Schizosaccharomyces pombe: one gene and its partner. The protein of the gene in region 1 interacts with the protein of each later gene in a pairwise test. Each region holds a gene or a part of one and is shown in the gene's direction. Other genes may lie near its edges. The genes, in order: hgh1 and asn1.

Region 1 (3,727 bases):
ATTTTGCAAATACCGTACCCGGTCAGCCTACATTTTTGTTTGAAAATGTCTCTGCTTAAAACATTTTGTAAGCACCATAAAAATAGTTACAGAAATCCTTTAAAGCAGGAGGAATGCGTTGTGCAATATGTAAAATAATATCATTTTCATCTGCTATATAGTTTGCAATTTTTTTTAAATAATAGATTTTTAGAGCGTTAACCAGACTATATATTTCTCTTGCAATATTCGGTCTTATCATTCATTTAATGTGAAAACGTATTGTTACAGTATTTTTTATTACATTTGTTTTCCAATTTCATTTTATGTTCCTTCGCTTGACGAAAATTATCAATCGCTTCCTGATTATTTTCATCGAATTCTAGTAAAGCAAAATTTTGAAATATTTCGAATCTCTTGTTGAATGCAGAATTAGACCACTATCCTGCCATTCAATACTCTCGTAACGGAATCGTCAAGCGCGGTGACATTTTTATAGTCCCTTTGGTTTAAATGCGTATACAAATTATACTAAGCTTTAACAGAGGCGATCTGTTAATGATTATAATAGCAAGAAAGTGATATATAAAGATCATAATAAGGAGAAGGAAAAACCAATATTCCTACTAAGAGAAAACAAAATAGCGAAAGATATAAAATACTTCCCTAAAACGTACGAAATTTGTGTGCGACTGACCCTTTTAACCAGAAGCCAATTGCATCTTGAAGTCGTTCTTTCAACTTGACAGTCTCAAGAGGACTAAATTTAGTAATACCATACCCATGAAGATATTGAATACACTGTTCCTTTATCAAATTATCAATGTCTTCAAGGCTTGCAAGGGTGGGAGTTCATAGTCTCTAGGTTCATCTCCGTTAAGGAATGGTACTGGAACAGCCGAACAATTCATATCTGCACAGACCATGTTTTCATATTTTCTTGTTAGCATCATCGACTTGCAAGAACGATCATCAATTTTTTGGATCGTTTGAGCCATATTATTAAATCTTTCTTCAGTTCTTTGATCCAAAAGATTTTTCTATCTAAATGAGATATAGAACCTTTCATGGCAGTTATATCACCCTTCATAGTAGTCATCTCACCTTTGATGGATGCAATCCCGTTCTGTATAGTCAAATCTAAAATTCATTAATTTCGCACAGACTCTATAACAGATGTAAATCGTTGGAAAACATTTTTAAGTCTTGATTTTCCCAACGATTAATCCAAAGTGGAAATTGAGTTTCCACAAAATTTTTCAGAAATTTCTCCTTTATCATCAGTTTCTTACAATTTCGCAACTGAACCTTGGCCGTAATAATCAAGCTATGGTTTTTGAAGAAAAGAATAGAATATAATCCAGGTCGGCTGCTTAAGTATCTTATTTAATTTAACCCTTTTTTTATTTATTGAACTCCAAGTTTTCGGTATACGTATACGATGAATCACCTGGCAGATAATTGTTTTCCTTAACCTGTTGACAAACAGTTTTGAACGTAGAGATATGAAAGTATTAGAAAATGTGTGTCTACAGATTAATTAAATGCATTTTGCTTAAATAAAATTAGCTTCTGCAGACAATTTGCCTAATATGATTTTTAGTTGTACTAACTTGGAATTTGTATGTCACCACTGAAGTTTGCAAATTTTACAACTTCGCATTAAACCTCTACAATTCTTAATATTACAAGAGAAAAGGCTATCGCTAGCGATCAGTAAATATTTTTATAAATGTCAGAACTTATAGAAGTAAGTGTAACTTTTGTTGCGCATGAGTTAACATAATTAGCTTGTAGGATTTTTACATGATCAAAATCCGCAGGTACGGATGTTAGCTGTTCAGCATTTGCTTCCGTACACCGCTAGGAATCATCCTCAATTTAGTATTTGGTTCCACAATGACTTTGAGCCGGTGAAAGACCTTAAGGCTCTATTGAAGGACAAGCCTCAGATTGCAAGTCAAGCTGTTACGGCTTTAGTGAATGTCTCACAAAATGAGAAAGTTCGTAAAGTGTTGATGGATGATGAATTTCTGCAGCTCATTTTTAGCATTGTGACAAACCCATTGCATGGATTGGCTGATTTGAGCTGTATGTTGTTGTGTAACTTGGCCAAGGAAGAAGACTTTGCCCGTATTTTAGATATGCAAGTTCCTTTAAGAGAGTTTTCGTTGAGTAAAAATATTATTGATCAGTTGATGGATCTTTTTGTGAAAGGAACCGATCATGGAATCAATGAGTATGCCAATTTTGATTTTTTGGCCAACGTATTTGCTGATATGACACGTTTTGAAAGGGGAAGAAAATACTTTACGACTCTTCAAGAGTATGATCATGTAATTCCAGCATCGAAATTGGTTGTTTTTACGGAGCACAAATCTTTATTGCGTCGCACCGGTGTCGCAGCCATCATTAAAAACATATCTTTTGACATCCCATTTCAGAAAGTTTTGATGGATGAAGAAGGTATTAATGTTTTGCCATATCTTTTACTTCCTTTGGCAGGTCCTGAAGAACTCAGTGAAGAGGATATGGATGGTATGTTTGACGAATTACAACTACTACCAGATGATAAGAAACGAGAGCCGGATCACTTTATTATGAAAACTTTAGTTGAAACATTGGTACTGCTTACTGCTACACGGGAGGGAAGAGAACATATGAGACGCCGTAAGGTGTACCCTATTATACGTGAATTGCACTTGAACGTGGATGATGAAGAGATTCGCGAAGTTTGTGATCAGTAAGTTTTTTTTTACAAAATGGGAAGGGATTTATTACTAATTCAAAATAGGCTTGTACAAATGTTGGTGCGTGACGAGGCACCTGAAGAACTTGAGCACATCCAAGATAACCCACCAGATGAGGATGATGTTATCGTTGAGGTGGATTAAAAAGGGAAAAATACATATTTTTTAAAAAAGATAATTTTGGGAGCCTAAAGCTCATCTTGGGGATAAATACATAGGTGTTTGATTTTGTTTTCCATTGAATGGTTGGAGAAAGAAAGAGTAGAAAGTGAAATGGAAATCACACAATAAAATATTTGGACTTTATAATTGAGAGAAAGGTGCGTTATGAAGAGCAAGAGTCCTTTAAAATCCCGAGTTTATAGTATTGTATTGCGAAATGTAGAAGAGCAAAATTAAATTATTGCAATGGGTAGGATTAGAGTATAAATTAGTAAACAGTGTATTGACAGAGAATAGAAAGTGTAAATAAATGGGTTATGCAGACAGCAGAGCACACCAAAGAAAAGGAAATAGCAAGTAGGAAAGTATCAATGGAATAAAAAAAAGAGGTAAAAATAAATGTAAGCAAATGTAAAAGGAAGCAACCGTAAAAATGAAATTAAATACAAATAATGAATGGATAAATTAATGAAAGAAGAAAGAAGCAAAAAAAATCCAAAAAAAAAAAAAAAAAAAAGTTATAATAATTAAATTAAATAAAACTAAAGAAATTAAATCACAAGGTCAATGAAATCCAGAATGAAATAAAAAATAAAAAAAATTTGTAAAAAATAAAATAAATAAAAATGAATTCACAATTTTACTAGGTTAATATATTCTTCTTCCAATGTTTGTTTACAAACTGCATTCCGATGCAAAAATAATTTTTTATTACACGTTTCCATTAGAATACGTTATTTCCATGCACTAGTAAATGGGTAGGGTCTTTTCGCCTTATTTAGGTTAAGGGATTAAAGAAAAATCTCAATATTCTATTATAATGACAATTTTTTAAC
Region 2 (4,887 bases), on another chromosome or scaffold:
CGTCTTATAATGAAATGCAAAGCGGTCGAATATGAAATTATGTGCATATTTTTATAAATCAGAAAAAATATGTAAGATGATATTCGAGACGCGAATGAAGTTTTACAATAGAAAGGGAAAGCCTTTACAAATACCTGCAAAAAAGGTCGTACAGATTCCGTTGTTTTTTGGGAAAGCAAATCATGATGCGCAAATCCTATATAAAAGGAACAGTTTTTTTTAGGAGAAAATTTTGGCAATTGCCGCTATGGCATCCATTACTAGCAATGAAATAAAGCAGAAGGCGGGCGACCTTGATTCCAGTAAAGGCTAACGGGAAAAATAAAAGGGAAAAACGACGTCACAAATAAGTGAACAAAAAGTCATTAATGGTTGGGTTTCTAAAGTACCGGGAAATAAATGATTAGTTTCATCTTTGACAAAATTAGTAACAAAGCTGCAATAGACTGTTTATATTTTTGAGAGTGAAGGAGTTTCAAGCGGAATAAAACAGCCTGCTCAAAGACAAAGATAGACACCATGATTATAAGGTGATGAATTCAATATGGCACAGTGATCCTAACGAGGAATACTGTCATTATCATCATCACGGAGGGAAAGTTTTTGAATACCAAAAATTCTCTTCCGGTGAACGGCAGGCAGTTTAGGGATTAAAACCATAAACAGGGCCCAAATGTTGACCAAGAACATCCAACCGTTATAGTGGGTGTAATGAGTACTCATTAGGAATAGTATAATGGGTAGAACTAAAAGATATTTACGGGCTGGTGTGTATTGATTTCCTTCATCTAATTGCTCCCACATGGTAAGGCGATCATAGGCACCACCGTTGAACTCGAATGGAGTTCCAGTAACCCAATGAAACATGATGAATGAACCAGCCATATATGTAAGATTAGTGAGGGTCCATGCTAATTCGCGTGACACTGAAGGAATAGCATGGAAAATAAGACGAAGAGCTGCAATCAAGACAATGTGGATAACCCATGCGCCCTTATAGTTCACCCAATTAGAGTTATAATTCGTGGCTGAGCCTTGGTCTAAACGATCATCAATCGTGGGTTTAGGTACCTTAGTGACCAGGGAGGAAGACCTTCTTCTGCTACTACTGCTGCCCATTTTTATATGAAGATGAAGAAACAGAACGAGAAGGAAGAGGGAAAAACGGATGTGAGTAAAGAAATAAACAAGTTATAAAGAAATAAACAACTTTGACGGAAAAGCTTTAAAATCCACACAAAGTTAAAAGAATCGATTCAACTCGCCTGACCAATCTGCAATTCAATCTGTAAAACAATTAACCACCGACTACTTCGTATCTAGAAGAAGACGATATCACAAAGAACAAATAATATACTTGGTCAAACAAGAGAAGAGAAGTAGCTTAAGCTTGTGAAACTATCAAAGCCAGCTTCCAATTATGTTATAAAAGAAAAAGAAACAAAGAAAAGACGAAACTTCGGCTATTTTTTTTGAGAAAAAAAATTTCCAAATATTATAAAGACCAGTAATTCCTTTAAATATATAAAGACTTCAAACACCGTTTCTTGATAGGGTTTTTTGTTAATGTTTGCGTTTTATGGATATGTGTAGTAGCAGGAGGAATAGCATCACTGATGGATTCTAATAGAAATAGTTTGCTCATTTAGTGTAGTGAGTTAGCCGACTGTGGCGTAGTGATACGATTCCGAAACGATACTTTGTTGATACCTTATAACTTTATACTGAATGTTTATATCCACTGCTATCTAATCTTATCGCACATAGTTATCTTGTAAATCATAAATTGAATACCGTTTTGTATTATCTTATCGTAATCGATCTTTCGGCGGCAAACTATCGTAGTAATCACCGCGCTAATCACTGCTAGCAATAACCTATAAAAGTTCCCGGAATCTCTACATTTCACTTAACTTTTTCCAACATCGGCAGGGAGATTTTGACGGTATCTCCTAGAATTGGGCAGGAAACGATCGTAAAACATCGTTTATTAAAAAGAACGCAAAAAATTATATCCTATAGTTTTTGAACGAGCTAAATAGCTTCCGTTTTGGAGTTTACATTCTAAAACATCTAACACCTAATTCTGAACTGATTGTTGGCTCAGTGCTACTTTTTGACTATTACATTTCTTTTATAAAGATAATATTTATCTTTTACATATCTTAAAAGGTAACTATCATTCCAGCTGCGTTGATAAAAATTTTTTATTATCTTCCATTTTTTCCCTCTCCTTCTATTCTTTGTTTAGTAACCATAAATTTTAGATCTATTTGTCAATTTTTTTGAAACATTAACTATGTGTGGTATTCTTGCTGTTCATCACGTCGCCGAAGATATTGAGGCTTTCAAGCCCAAGGCTCTTCATTTGTCGAAACAACTTCGTCACCGTGGTCCTGACTGGTCTGGTAAGGCTATTCGCAACCAAACTATTCTTTGCCATGAGCGTCTTGCTATTGTCGGTGTTGAAAGTGGTGCTCAACCTCTTGTATCTGACGATGGTAAACTTGTCCTTACTGTCAACGGTGAAATCTATAACCATCTTAAGCTTCGCGAAAACTTAAAGGGTAACTATAAATTCAAGACTTACTCCGATTGTGAAGTCATTTTATATCTCTACCGCGAACATGGTCCTGCTTGCGCTAACATGTTGGACGGTATGTTTTCTTGGGTTTTATATGATCAAGACAAGGATAAGGTTGTTGCTGCTCGTGATCCCATTGGTATTACAACTTTATATCAGGGCTTCTCATCTGACAGTCCTGATACTGCCTATTTTGCTTCTGAATTGAAGGCATTGCATCCTGTTTGCGACAAAATCATTGCTTTCCCTCCCGGACATTATTACGACTCCGAAACCAAGCAAACTGTCCGCTATTTCAAGCCTAGCTGGTGGGACGAAAATAAAATTCCTTCCAACCCCGTTGACTACAAGCTTCTGCGCGAGACTTTGGAGGCTTCCGTTCGCAAGCGTTTAATGGCTGAAGTTCCTTATGGTGTTCTTCTATCTGGTGGTTTGGATTCCAGTTTGATTGCTTCTATTGCCGCTCGTGAAACTGAGAAGCTCGCTAACAGCACTTCGCAGTCCGAAGAGGCTCGTACCATTACCGCTTGGCCTAAGCTTCATTCTTTTGCAATTGGTTTACCTGGCTCTCCTGACTTGCTTGCGGCTCGTAAGGTTGCCGACTTTTTGCATACTTTCCATCATGAGCACACCTTCACTATCGATGAAGGTCTTGATGCTCTTCGTGACGTTATTTACCATCTTGAGACATATGATGTTACCACTATCCGTGCAAGTACCCCCATGTATCTACTATCTCGTAAAATCAAGGCTCAAGGTGTTAAAATGGTTTTGTCTGGTGAGGGATCTGACGAAATCTTTGGTGGTTATTTATATTTCGGTAATGCCCCCTCTCGTGAGGCCTTCCATTCCGAGTGTGTGCGTCGTGTTAAGAACTTGCACTTATCCGATTGCTTGCGTGCTAACAAGTCAACTATGGCTTGGGGTCTTGAGGCTCGTGTTCCTTTCTTGGATAAGGACTTTTTGGAAGTTGCTCTTAACATTGATCCTGAGGAGAAAATGTATATTAACGGTCGTAAAGAAAAATATATTCTTCGCAAGGCTTTTGACACAACTCATGATTCTTCATTACAACCATATCTCCCTCAAGATATTCTTTGGAGACAGAAGGAACAGTTCTCTGATGGCGTTGGTTATTCATGGATTGACGCTTTGAAGGACACTGCTGAGTTATGTATTTCAGATGATGAATTTGCTCTTCCAAGGAGGGAATGGGGTGACGATATTCCTACCACCAAAGAGGCATTCTGGTACCGCAAGCTTTTCGACGAAATCTTCCCTAGACAGTGTGCTGACACTGTTATGCGTTGGGTTCCCAAGGCTGAATGGGGTTGCCCCGAAGATCCATCTGGTCGTTACCAGGCTGGTCACGTTGCTGCTTTAAAATAAGCTGTGTAATTTAGCCCAGTAGGCGTTATCCGACGTTCGTTTATGTTCGTTAATGTAGGGATGTTATACTTTCCTTTTTTTTGTATTGTAAAAAAAACTCGTTTTCACCCTTTTCTCCTTTGTCTGATTCCTTTTATTTAGATTTTCGTTATTTAATATTTAACTATACCAAATCGAATCTGAACACTTCTTTTCGCATATATTAATCTTTTGAAATCTGCATATAATAGTTCGTATTCTGAGTGTTGTATAAGCTTGAAACACCTCTTAAACCGCAGTTTATAGTTTCTACAGTGTTTAAAAGCAGCATGATTATATCATGTAAAGTAGTGAACATTCCTTTTTTGAAACAAATAGCTGGATGGCTGTTTCCAGTTTTATCTAACTTAAATATCTAAAGAAATACGGAATAATCAGAGGAACAAAAACTTTATATTTTTTTTGAACTAAAAGAGAATATAAAATGCTAAAAAGACTTTAAATAATTCTTCATAAGGACCAAACAAAAGATAGATTGACTGTGACAGTAAGACCTTTTAACGATCGAAACCGTGACGAATTAATTCATCGTATAAAATGGGATTTAAATTTTTAGAAAAATAAAAAATGTGGGATTAACGGGCAAACTTAGAGTAATCTTTTGCAAGGACTTCGAGTGCTTGCATAGCTGCCCTAGAGCCCGCGTCTTTTTGATTTGCACCCCACGCACGGGCTACTTCTTTGCCATTAAATATGCAGGCAATAACATAACCCTCAGCGGAACCACCAGCACCATCGACCCAGCGATATTCGATGTGGCCCAAAGTGCTGTACTTGTGAAAAAGTTTTGATTTAGCCAGCTTATCGATAGGACGTTGAACAGTGATATTGGCAATCTTTGGTTGGAGAAGTCGGCTAACCCATTGAAAAGCTGT

The links.
Region 2: the proteins of hgh1 (region 1) and asn1 interact in a two-hybrid assay, tested with the Schizosaccharomyces pombe proteins (one large-scale study listed by BioGRID).

Annotation. Positions count from the first base shown.
Region 1 is NC_003424.3:5,152,221-5,155,947, forward strand, and holds hgh1 (protein hgh1), read left to right. Parts: upstream 1-1,643; 5' UTR 1,644-1,711; coding exon 1,712-1,729; intron 1,730-1,769; coding exon 1,770-2,722; intron 2,723-2,773; coding exon 2,774-2,873; 3' UTR 2,874-3,008; downstream 3,009-3,727. Other genes in the region: leucine--tRNA (Leu) ligase Lrs1, read left to right, coding at 1-59.
Region 2 is NC_003423.3:733,117-738,003, forward strand, and holds asn1 (asparagine synthetase), read left to right. Parts: upstream 1-1,910; 5' UTR 1,911-2,172; intron 2,173-2,280; exon of another isoform or gene 2,281-2,286; 5' UTR 2,287-2,299; coding exon 2,300-3,973; 3' UTR 3,974-4,179; downstream 4,180-4,887. Other genes in the region: orm1 (ORMDL family protein), read right to left, coding at 559-1,119; double-strand-specific ribonuclease Pac1, read right to left, coding at 4,588-4,887.